Linked DNA regions of Sus scrofa. The protein of the gene in region 1 interacts with the protein of each later gene in a pairwise test. Links are inferred from orthologs where the notes say so. Each region holds a gene or a part of one and is shown in the gene's direction. Other genes may lie near its edges.

Region 1 (3,746 bases):
GAAGGACTTGAAGGTTCACACAGGGAACCACACAGCCAGTTTACAAAAGGGAGGAGGTGTTGTTGGGGAAGAAGAAAATGTCCTGTCCACCATCAGCCATCTGTCCACTGCCCCTCCCACCTGCCAGCCCCCACCCCCACTTCAGCTGTGCAGTAGAATGGGGGGGGGGTGGATGAAGGAAGCTCTAGCACGCCTAACATTCGCCTCCAGGAAACGAGAAACGTTTCTGGGGGTGGCGGGGTGGGAGGGGAGGTGGAGGGGGAGTTCATCGTACTTCACTGTGGTCTCGCCCTTTGAGGCCCAGGTCGGTGTACACAGGCTCCTGGGTCCTAGGGAGCCGGCAGATGGCCTGCAGCGCACGGCCCGGCCCCCACGCTGGCCACGTCGGCTAGCGTCATCTCTCTCCCCCGCCTCCTACCCCTCAAAATCCGGCAGCAGAGTTGCTCCGGATCCCGCAGGGCTCCCAGAACAGAGCTGAGTGGGGAGGAGAAAGGGGCGGAGAGCGAGGAGAGAGGGAGGGCGAAGAGCCGGGCCACCCCCGGCCTTTTCCGGCAAGCTTAGCTCCCAAGGTTCACCCGTTCCCGAGCATCGAATTACAGCAGCTCCCCGTTGCCACGCTAACAGCTCGTGGGGGTGGGGGAGGAACGGGGGCTTCAAGACCCTACAGGGAGAGGGAAGTTTCCTTTCTTGCGCTTGTCCCCTCCACGCCCACTCGGGTTCCCCCAGCCAGCCCTCTGCGCACTTCCCTCTCCTTCCGGAGACCTGGTGGTGGCCCAGCCTCGTCCCCCGCCACCGTTCTCGGCTCTCCTCACTGCCCCCAAGGCATCACAGAAGGGACGGCAGTGAAAGCGCCCGGGGAGCGACCCTTCCAGTTCCTCGCGTTCCGGGCTCAGCCAGTGTGCAAGTGGCGGCCCAGCGAGCTCCCTCCCACTGACTCCCGACCCAAGAGAGCGCGGAGCCCTCTTGGCGTCTCACCTCTTGCCAGTTCCTCTTTCTGTGCACGGTGGGGAGGGGGGCGGTGACCGAGGATGGCTCTCAGCCCCCACCTCCCGGAGGGGGGCGATCGGAGTCGGCCACTCGCAGAAGGCAGCCCCTGCTCCCCTTCGCCCCAACGCTGGGAATCTGCCCCTGCAGCCGCCGCAGCTGCTGCTGCCGCCCGGGCTGCCTGGGGGGGCGACTGCGCGTCACCTAGACTGAGGAGCGCCGGGGATTTAAATGCCACTGAAAGGGTGATCCATCACCGCAGGAGCCAGCAAACTTTCGCAGGAGGCTCCGCCATTGGCTGAGAGAGTCACGTGCCCCTCCCCTAGCGCCCTCCGCCCTCCCGCCCCCCCTCTTGCGCACTGTACATTCATATCATTTTTCTTCTCCGGCCCCATGGAGGAAGTGAGAAAGTTGGCACGGTCACTCAGGGCTTCGCAGGACCCGGTCACTCAGTGACAGATGGACAATGCAAGAATGAGCTCCTTCCTGGAATACCCCATCCTCAGCGGTGGCGACTCGGGGACCTGCTCAGCGCGAGCCTACCCCTCCGACCATGGAATTACAACTTTCCAGTCGTGCGCGGTCAGTGCCAATAGCTGTGGCGGCGACGACCGCTTCCTAGTGGGCAGGGGGGTGCAGATCAGCCCGCCCCACCACCACCACCACCACCACCACCATCACCACCCCCAGCCGGCCACCTACCAGACTCCTGGGAACCTGGGGGTGTCCTACTCCCACTCGAGTTGTGGTCCAAGCTACGGCGCGCAGAACTTTGGCGCGCCTTACAGCTCCTACGCGTTAAATCAGGAAGCAGAAGTAAGTGGTGGGTACCCCACGTGCGCTCCCGCTGTTTACTCTGGAAATCTCTCATCTCCCATGGTCCAGCATCACCACCACCACCAGGGTTATGCCGGGGGCGCGGTGGGCTCGCCTCAATATATTCACCACTCATATGGACAAGAGCATCAGAGCCTGGCCCTGGCCACGTATAATAACTCCTTGTCCCCTCTCCACGCCAGCCACCAAGAAGCCTGCCGCTCCCCTGCATCAGAGACGTCTTCTCCAGCGCAGACATTTGACTGGATGAAAGTCAAAAGGAACCCTCCCAAAACAGGTCAGTCTTGCCCTTCCATGAATGATCCTTGATTATTCAGGAAGGAGCCGGTATGCTTAGTTTCCAAGGAAAATTAATCAAGGTTTTGTTTTGTTTTTTTCTTTAAAATTCTTGCTTCCCACCGGTGTTGTAGGGTGTTGGGAGGCTGCCCAGGTGTGGTTGGCACAAAGGAACATCTGGGATTGTTGTGTTTCCAAGGGGGCTGAGTTTTAGAGGTTTTGGAAGTAGGACGTGGGAAAGTGGGTAGGTGTGTATGTGTGTGTTAATATCTCCAGGCTCCATTAATCACTGGTCTGACCATGCTAATGGGTGACTTCAGATGAACGCTTTACACCTCATCACTCACCCTCCCAAGCCCGGCTTGTGTTGAGAAATTCTTGATTCCCCCTTTGCCTGAATCTTGCTCTGAAGCCTACAGGGACTCTCATATCGAATATAAATTTTTTCCCCTTTTTTCCCCATCGCTTCCCCTTGCCCTCAGGGAAAGTTGGCGAGTACGGCTACGTGGGTCAGCCCAACGCGGTGCGGACCAACTTCACCACCAAGCAGCTCACGGAGCTGGAGAAGGAGTTTCACTTCAATAAGTACCTGACGCGGGCCCGCAGGGTGGAGATCGCCGCGTCCTTGCAGCTCAATGAGACCCAGGTGAAGATCTGGTTCCAGAACCGCCGAATGAAGCAGAAGAAACGAGAGAAGGAGGGCCTCTTGCCCATCTCTCCAGCCACCCCACCGGGCAGTGAGGAGAAGGCCGAGGAATCCTCCGAGAAGTCCAGCTCCTCGCCCTGCGTTCCTTCCCCGGGGTCTGCTACCTCAGACACTCTACCTACCTCCCACTGAGGCCGCCCCAGCCCCAGACTCGACTCTTCCGGCTGGGACTTCTTTCCCAAAGCACATTCTTAGCTTATCTTCCTGTCCATTTACAATCTCTCTCTTCCTCTCTGATCCTATCTGGGGAACTCCTGGCCAGGATACTGTGTTTCCAGTGAATTCTGGATTAGAGACTGGTGTGGGGGCAGGGGAGTGCTAGCTCCGCAATGCAAATTGAGTGCCAACATCAATTTTCTCAAGGCCCCTAACGCCCCTAGTTTTAGGAGATTTCTTTGACAGACCCTACAGTTCCTTTCAGATGCCCTTTGGAAAATAGTCTCCTTTGCCAGCAGAAACATGTCAGAGGGAGGCCTCTCATCTTATATCTAACCGTGTATTTACAGTTCTCCCCTACTCTGCCCTTAAAGTAGGATAGAGAGAGAAGAGAGTCCAGGAGCTCATGAGGAAGAGATGCACTATGAGCGTGTTTACACAATTAATTCACCCCTTAATTTAACTCAGTTTCATGTGTGTGAGTCTGCTGGTTGTAAATACTTTGTCCTGAAAGATTTATCTTTATACAGATTTTCTAGAAATGTTTAGATTAAGGGATGAAAATAGGGTGGGCAAACTCTCTAAGCTGGTACAACTTTGTATGTGATTATAGGTTAAAGACTAAAAGCTCCCAGTAAAATCAATCAGAGGCCTCAGAGGGTCGCCTCCGTTTGTTCTTTCAGCAAGTTAAGAAAGCCTGCAGCATAAAGGGTCAGAAACCTGGCTCCCTGGGCTGAGTCTCTCCCCATCCCCACGCCTTTCTCCTTTCTCTGGCCACACTCTTTCA
Region 2 (3,646 bases), on another chromosome or scaffold:
GGAGCTTGTGGAGAGGCAGGCTCTGACATCTGAGCCCCGGGAGGCTGGACCCGTGCAGCTGGGAGGCTGGGGAAGGCGGATGGATGAGCTCCCACAGGACTCAAGGCCATGCACTGGGGCTGCGGGGGCAGGTGGGTGGGCTGAAAAGGGGCTGAAGCTTGACCTTGGATGTGATGTTTATGTTGAGGGTGGGTCCTCCGCCGCAAGGGTCCATCTCCTCCAGCTGCTGGGTGTCCAGCCCTCCAGTCCCCCCTCCCCCCACCGCCGGCAGCCCACACAAGCTCTCTTCCTGGAGCAGAAAAGGGTCCCAGGACAGGTGAGGGCGTCTTGACAGCTAGGGCTCTGTGTGATCTCCTGGGGGACCCCACAGACCCATGGGGCCATGAGGTTCTCTGTCATACACACAGCCCCAGGGCCCCACAGACTCCTGGCTGAGCTCTGTGCTGCGTGTGGGGCTGATGGCCCACCACCCCTGCCCACCCCTAGGTGTGAGTGTGCACCAGGTTACACAGGTGACAACTGCAGTGAGAACCAGGATGACTGCAGGGACCACCGCTGCCAGAATGGGGCCCAGTGCGTGGACGAAGTCAACGGCTATACCTGTGTCTGTGCTGAGGGCTTCAGGTGAGCAGTCCCTGGATCCATCACGAGCCACTGACTCCTCTTAGCCATCAGCCTCTGGGGCTGGCAGGAGCCCCCGGGTGTGGCTAGCAAGAGGGAGTAAGGGTCAGAGCCTGGGCGCTGGGTCCCGGGGCTTTAAGCTTGGCTGGGGTAGTCACGATCTGTGTGGTCTGGGGAAAGTTTCTTAGCAGCTCAGAGCAAAGGCAAAGGGCCCCTGACCTGTTTGCTGGGCAGAGTGGGAGGTGAGTACAGATTACTGGGCAATGCCCCATCCTTTAGCTGCCCAGTGAACCCCTGAAGACATGTCCTGCATTAAAGGTCATTTACCTTTGCATCTTGGCCTCTCTGGTAGGCTGGGAGGGGAGGGCACCTGCCCACCTTCTGGCCACCCACCTCCCATGCTCTGCTTGTGTCTTTTTTTAAAAAGCAGTTTTATTGAGATATAATTCATATGCCATACAGTTTACCCAGTTACAGTGTACAATTCATTGGCTTTCGTAGTTTCCCAGAATTGTGCAGCCATTGCCACAATCAATTTTAAAATATTTTCATTACCCCAAAGAAACTCCACACTCTTATCTGTCATCACAGCCCCTCTCCATCCCAGCTCTAGAAACCACTAATCGGTAACATCTGTGTCTATAGATTTATTTATTCTGAACATTTTGTATAAATGGAATCATACAATCTGTGGTCCATTGTGGCTGGCTTTCACTTAGCATCATGTTTTAGAGGTTCATACACATGGTAGCATGTCACAGAACTTCATTCCTATTTATGGCTGAATAATATTCCGTCGTATGGGTCCATTCATCACTGATAGACATTTGGGTTGTTTCTTCTTTTTGGCTGTTGTGATTATTTGATGCTATAGAGTCCTCTCTCTTTCGCTTGTGTCTTAAGTCGCAGCTTTCTTTTCTATAAAATGGGTATAGTCAAACTTGCTAGCAGAGTTTGTTGACACGAGCAGTGAGTGCTTCTTAAACTAAGGTGCACACAGGTCACCTGGGATCTTATTAAAGGTCAGATTCAAGGAGTTCCCATCATGGCTCAGTGGTTAACAAATCCGACTAGGACCATGAGGTTGTGGGTTCGATCCCTGGCCTTGCTCAGTGGGTTAGGGATCCGGCGTTGCCGTGAGCTGTGGTGTAGGTTGCAGATGCAGCTTGGATATGGTGTTGCTGTGGCTGTGGCGTAGGCCGAGGCTACAGCTCTGATCCACCCCTAGCCTGGGAACCTCCATATGCCACGGGAGCGGCCCCAGAAAAGGCAAAAAGACCAAAAAAAAAAAAAAAAAAGCCAGATTCAAGAGCCCATTTCTGACAAGTGCCCAGGCAATGTTATTGCCACTGGTCCAGGGACCACACTTGTTTCTCAGCATCCTTCTGGCTCTTAGTTCTCTCTGGGAAAGTGTTTATTAGGAGCATCATCTGATGCTTTAAAGGCACAGTGTTCCAAGATGTTTAGTGAGTTTCTCTCCAGGACTGTGGGAGAGAGATGATGACTCCTTGCTCCCCGGCCCTGTCCCCTCTGACCTGTGTCCTTTCCCTCTCAGTGGGCAGCTCTGTGAGACCCCTCCCCACCGGCCTACCCCCAGGAGCCCCTGTGAGGGGACTGAGTGCCAGAATGGGGCCAACTGTGTGGACCAGGGCAACCGGCCCGTGTGCCAGTGCCTCCCGGGCTTTGGCGGCCCCGAGTGTGAGAAGTTGCTCAGTGTCAACTTCGTGGATCGCGACACGTACCTGCAGTTCACCGACCTGCAGAACTGGCCGCGGGCCAACATCACGCTGCAGGTGCGTGCCCAGGGCGCCCGGCCGCAGAAGGTGGTCAGGCAGCAGGGGCTCCTGGCCTCAGGTCAGAGCATCAAGATGCATCCCTCCCAGGATGGCTGGGAGGATCCTGAGCTGGTCCAGACTTCTTGGATGTGGGTATCAGGATCTCAGCTTGAACTTGTTTGAGCTCAGCTGGAAAGGTTATTGGGTCACAAAATCAGTCTCAGAGAAGGGCATGGGTGACTGGACCCAGAAAACCAAACTTCCGGGGTCCTCTCCCACCAAACTCTTGTCTCAACAACTCCTCAAAGCCTCAATTTGAGCCTCCCGAGCTGCAGACATGCTTCTCTATGTGGCAGGAACACAGCCACAGCTAGCCCTGGCTTCTATGTCTATGTACATGTCCCAAATGTCCCTGGGATCCCTTATTTTGCCATTCCATGTCCTGAATCCCATCTCAGAGCATCATTATGAGGGAAATAGAAGCAAGTCTCACTTCAACAGCAGTGTTATGTTAGCCAAGTATTTCTTGGCACAGGAGAGTAGTTTGCCCTGGACATGACACGATACAAAATTTTAAACTCCTCTTTAGTCATCTGTCTCTTTTCCCCAAATTCCATCCCAAATGCGCATCCTTCTTCTCTCCTTTCTTTTGTCCTCTTCTCCTTTTTTTCTCAGAACCCTTCCACCTCTCAGACATACTCACTCTGCTGTCCTACCCTTGATCCCCTCTCCAAAATCCTCTCCACTTATATGGTCTACACAGCGAGACCACCGCTAGCCTCACTGCTCCACAAAATAAAACTCACCAAGACCCTGCCCAGCCATTGCCTCAGGCACATCCTTGGAGATGCTCAGTTTATCCCACCCTCCCCATCACTGGGCTCTTCCCACCAGCTCTAGTTGGACAGCAGGCAACAACCGCAGGGAAGATCTCTGGTGGGCCTGCCTTAGGTCACATGCCCATCCCCGACCCACCACTGAGTCCAGGGAGATAGGATGCTATGATTGGTCCAGATGGGGCCATGTGCCAGCTCTACAGACCAGGGGGCCAGGGTCTTGACCCAAAAGGGACAAGGCAGAAAAAAAGACCATGGCTCCTACAGCATCGCAGAGGGTTCTCCCTCCTAAGGTACAGCTCCAGCTTTTGCTTGCATGGCTCAAGGGACAGGTGCTACCTCCTGAGTGGCCCCTTCCAGGTTTGGATGGCTCTGGCTGTTAGAGAGTCTTTCTGAATTTGTCCTCTCTGTAAG
Region 3 (3,746 bases), on another chromosome or scaffold:
TTCAATAAAGTAAAGAACCTTTGATAAAAATCGAGTCCTTTGCTAAGCCACACTCGCTTAACTTCACACCTCTTTGAACCCGCCCCCCCACCCGCGCCGAGACTGCATCCTCTAGGACCCCGCTGCTGCAGCTGTTTTATTCCTTAAAGACAGATTTCTGGTTTCAATCGTTCTCCTAAAGCGCAGGATAAAATAACGCGGGCTGGGGGTGACCGTGAAGTTGCAGGAGACTGGGCACGAGAGCCTCTCATACGGGGAGGCTCCCAGGTCTCCAAAGCGCCCGCGAAGCCGCGACCCCCGGCGCCCGAGCGCGAGCCCCCGCCGAGCCCCTGCGCGCCGTGGGCGCCGAGCCGAGGCGGGCGCGCGGGGGGCGGGCGGCCGGGGAGGGGCGGGGCCGTGACTCACTCGGTCGCGCGCCCGAGGCAGAAGCGGCACCTCCGGCCGAGCGGGGCGAGGGGCTGCGCCCGCCCTCGGGGCGCATGCGCGCTACCGAGCGGCTCCTGCTCCCTCCCCGCCCACCTTTCCATCCTTCCCCCCTCCCCCTCCCCTCCGTCCTCGCTTCTGTCGCTCTCTCCTCGCCCGCTGGGTGCTGAAGTTGGGCGGATGGCAGCAAACCGGCTCTGCTAGAGGACCGAGCAGCCCAGCCTCGCGCCCCCGGACGCATTGGTGCGCTGCCCACACCTCCAGGCGACTGGGTAAGATGTTGCCTCTGAAACCGAGCCGCGCTAAGTAAATGACATCAAAATGTCTGCTTTGCACCGGTGGTTGAATTTTTTTAGAGGTGGGGGAGTGCGGAGGTGAAGGAAAGAGGGGGCGGAGAGTACAACTGCCTGTGCTCTGAAGAGGGTGGCGGCCGGCTTGGGGGTCTCCGCTCAGCCCGCAGCACCGCGGGAGGAAGCGGGGGCCGAGCTGCAGGTTTGGGAAGTTGAATCCCGCGTTGTAGCCTCGGCGCGGTCCGCTTGTCGCCCTCCGGCTGCTGCGGACCCGCTGGGCAAGTGTCCTGCCCGCCCAGGGAAGGATCCTGCCCACAGTCGGGTCCTCAGCGGAGAGCTGGACGCCTCGGCGATTCGACAGGGAGGGCCAAGGGCGGCGGGAGACCCCGCGGGGCGCGAGGTCCTGCCGATTTGGGTGGCTGTTTGTTAGAAAACCGAATGTGAAATTAACAGTGTCCAGTCGACCGATCACCTCGGGGTGTTTTTTTTTTTTTTTTTTTTTCCTTTACCTTTGGGGAAATGCAGGTGAGGGAGGTGTGAGCCAAAGGGGGTGCAGAAATGCCTACCTTGAGCATCGGTAATACATCTGAGGTGTGTGTATTTAGGGGGTGGGGGCCTCTTTTGTTCTTTCCGCTCCTTTGGTCGATGGAGAGGGAGTTCTCGTGTGCTCGGCTTCGGGTAGATTTCACAGCCTTCGAGGGGGCGAGGAGGTGGAACGCCCACCAATCCCCCAGCCACTGCCCAAGGTGGGTGTATCCGAGACTCTCTTTCTGTAGGTGATGATGATTCTTTGTATAATCGCTAGAATTACGGTTTCATAGCTGCTTACTCGCCAGCCTTCCTCCTCCTCTCCCTCTTCATGTGCTGCGGCAGAGGCTGGGTGCAGACACTCGGCCGTTTCCTTTACTCCCTACCTCCCTGTCTCTGTGAAAAATGTCGGAGGACTTGAGGATGGCGGAGAGATAGGGCTGGCCTCTTCATCCTTAGAGAAGCCAAGGATGGGGAGGTGGTCCTCGCAGGCGGGAGGCTGCTGGCAGGGTGTCCCGGGCAGCCCAGTGCCGGCCTCGGGAATCGCTGGGCTTCAGAAGGCAGAGCAAGGGTCGCCTGTCCAAAAAGATGCCCGCGGTGTGGGGACCCGCCCTACTCCCTCCGCCTCCACCCGGGACACCCACTCACCTGGGACAATCTCAGTCGCTCTGGCGAGACTGACCCCGGCGCCTGGCATAGTGGATTTCCTAACCTCTCTGACCCTTGATAAAGGTTTCCTTCTTTAAAACAGTCACTCGAAGGTTTGTCTAGAGAACTTTGCAATCTTCCCGCAGTTGTTTCTTCTTCTTTTTTAAAATTGTTTTACAGCCGGCCTATTTCCTCCATGTGATGGCTATCGCAGGTAATAGAGAGAAATCTTGTAGTTGGATTCCCGCAAGCATTTCTGAGACTGAATGTCATCTGCATTTCCGGCGTTCATACATTCTGGTTTTCCGGGTGATGAACCCTCTGAAAATCATTTAATTGGAGAAACGAGAAGCAATTTGTATTCTTGTAATGGAAAATAATGTTTTTCTCCTGGTTTCATAGCTGCTTGGCATTATGTGTATTAAATACTTTTTTCAAAACTGTGAAACACTTTGGGTAAATTGTATTTGTTTCTAAAGTCCTTGGTGGTAACAATAGCAGGTCTCTATGAAATATACGTTTTGCACTAATATCTAATGGAAAGGTGATTTATACTCATTCATCAAATGAATGAGCAGTTTGACCTCTTCCACTTAAGTGACTGTTATCAAGCTGTTTCTTCTGTTAGCATGAACTAAAACAGTAATTAGCACACTCACAGGAGAGTAGATTTATTCACTGTTTTTACATTCTTAAAAACTGTATTTAGAGAAAACATACACTTTTTAGAGATGAGAAAACAAGTATTTGTTTTTACAAAAGGATTAGATGGTATCGTTGGTTAAATAAGATAAATCTCCATGGCAATGATACCTGATCTCAGAGCCATGGACAACTCATCCTTCCTCCTGAATTTGTGGTCTGAAAGATAAAGAGAACCTCCTACTTTACAGAGGTGTCTGCTCTTCCAAATGCTGCCCTTTTTGCTCTGGTTCCTCAACTGCTCCTTGGTGTTTAGTCTCTGTGGAAAAGAATTAACTAGGAGAGTTATCCGCTATTCCTGTTCAATTTTAAGTCATACAGCTTCTTCTTCACAAATAGATTCTCTCTCAGCTTTTAGGAAATTTTCCTACAGGGTCCTGACTTATTGGAACTCATAATGTTAGCGTCTAAGTCATTATCATTCCTCTGGCCTTGTTATACTTTTTGATGATGGTGGTGATGAAGATGGTGATGATGAAGACATGCCTGAACCTGTCTTACCATGAGGGCAAGGGGCTTTGAAAAAAGGGACAAATGTGTGTATCCTCATCCGTTTGACCTTATAACAGCCAAATCTAAAAACTAAATCGATAAAAATTTCGGTTGGCTCATAGACTAAAAAGTAAGAAAGCATTTACCTGCTAATTTACAGTTGTAGAGATAGTGGCCTTCCTTAGAAATCTATTTGCTGAAAGGCATGGGTTTTTCTGGAAAAGTGAAAGGTGGGAATGGACAAGGAGAAATGGAGCCAAGAGGAATGGAACCCATCCAACTGCGTTTCTGCTGAGAATCCTTTTCTTGATAGTCCAGCTCTGCTTAGTTAATAATGAAAATATTGCACCACCCAGAAAGGCAAATGCAAGGACCACTGTATACCCAGTGGTTGAGAATAACTATGTGAGGTTAAAAACCATTTTATTTCATCTGATTACTACAGGTCGAGTATAAGCACGGAGTCATTATAGAGACTTAGAATTGTGACATATTCAGGGAGTATCCTGGATCCTCAAAAATATTTTAAGTTTTTATGGTAAGCTTAAAGAAATAAAACAGTTCTGGAGTTCCAGTGTGGCTCAGCAGGTTAAGGATCCTGCGTTGTCACTGCAGTGGCCTGAGTCGATGCCGCGGCTCGGGTTTGATCCCTGGCCCCGGGAA

What was found.
Region 2: the proteins of HOXA1 (region 1) and SLIT1 interact in binary tests that used the Homo sapiens proteins (3 or more experiments, as listed by UniProt). The link is inferred for Sus scrofa from reciprocal best matches to the Homo sapiens genes HOXA1 and SLIT1.
Region 3: the proteins of HOXA1 (region 1) and RGS17 interact in binary tests that used the Homo sapiens proteins (3 or more experiments, as listed by UniProt). The two-hybrid records come from large-scale screens. The link is inferred for Sus scrofa from reciprocal best matches to the Homo sapiens genes HOXA1 and RGS17.

The regions. Positions count from the first base shown.
Region 1 is NC_010460.4:45,476,217-45,479,962, forward strand, and holds the start of HOXA1 (homeobox protein Hox-A1), read left to right. Parts: upstream 1-1,344; 5' UTR 1,345-1,443; coding exon 1,444-2,098; intron 2,099-2,579; coding exon 2,580-2,935; 3' UTR 2,936-3,746. UniProt on the Homo sapiens protein: Sequence-specific transcription factor. Regulates multiple developmental processes including brainstem, inner and outer ear, abducens nerve and cardiovascular development and morphogenesis as well as cognition and behavior.
Region 2 is NC_010456.5:108,453,401-108,457,046, reverse strand, and holds part of SLIT1 (slit homolog 1 protein), read left to right. Parts: intron 1-486; coding exon 487-624; intron 625-2,176; coding exon 2,177-2,414; intron 2,415-3,646. UniProt on the Homo sapiens protein: Thought to act as molecular guidance cue in cellular migration, and function appears to be mediated by interaction with roundabout homolog receptors.
Region 3 is NC_010443.5:13,339,788-13,343,533, forward strand, and holds the start of RGS17 (regulator of G-protein signaling 17), read left to right. Parts: upstream 1-1,213; 5' UTR 1,214-1,271; coding exon 1,272-1,459; intron 1,460-3,746. UniProt on the Homo sapiens protein: Regulates G protein-coupled receptor signaling cascades, including signaling via muscarinic acetylcholine receptor CHRM2 and dopamine receptor DRD2.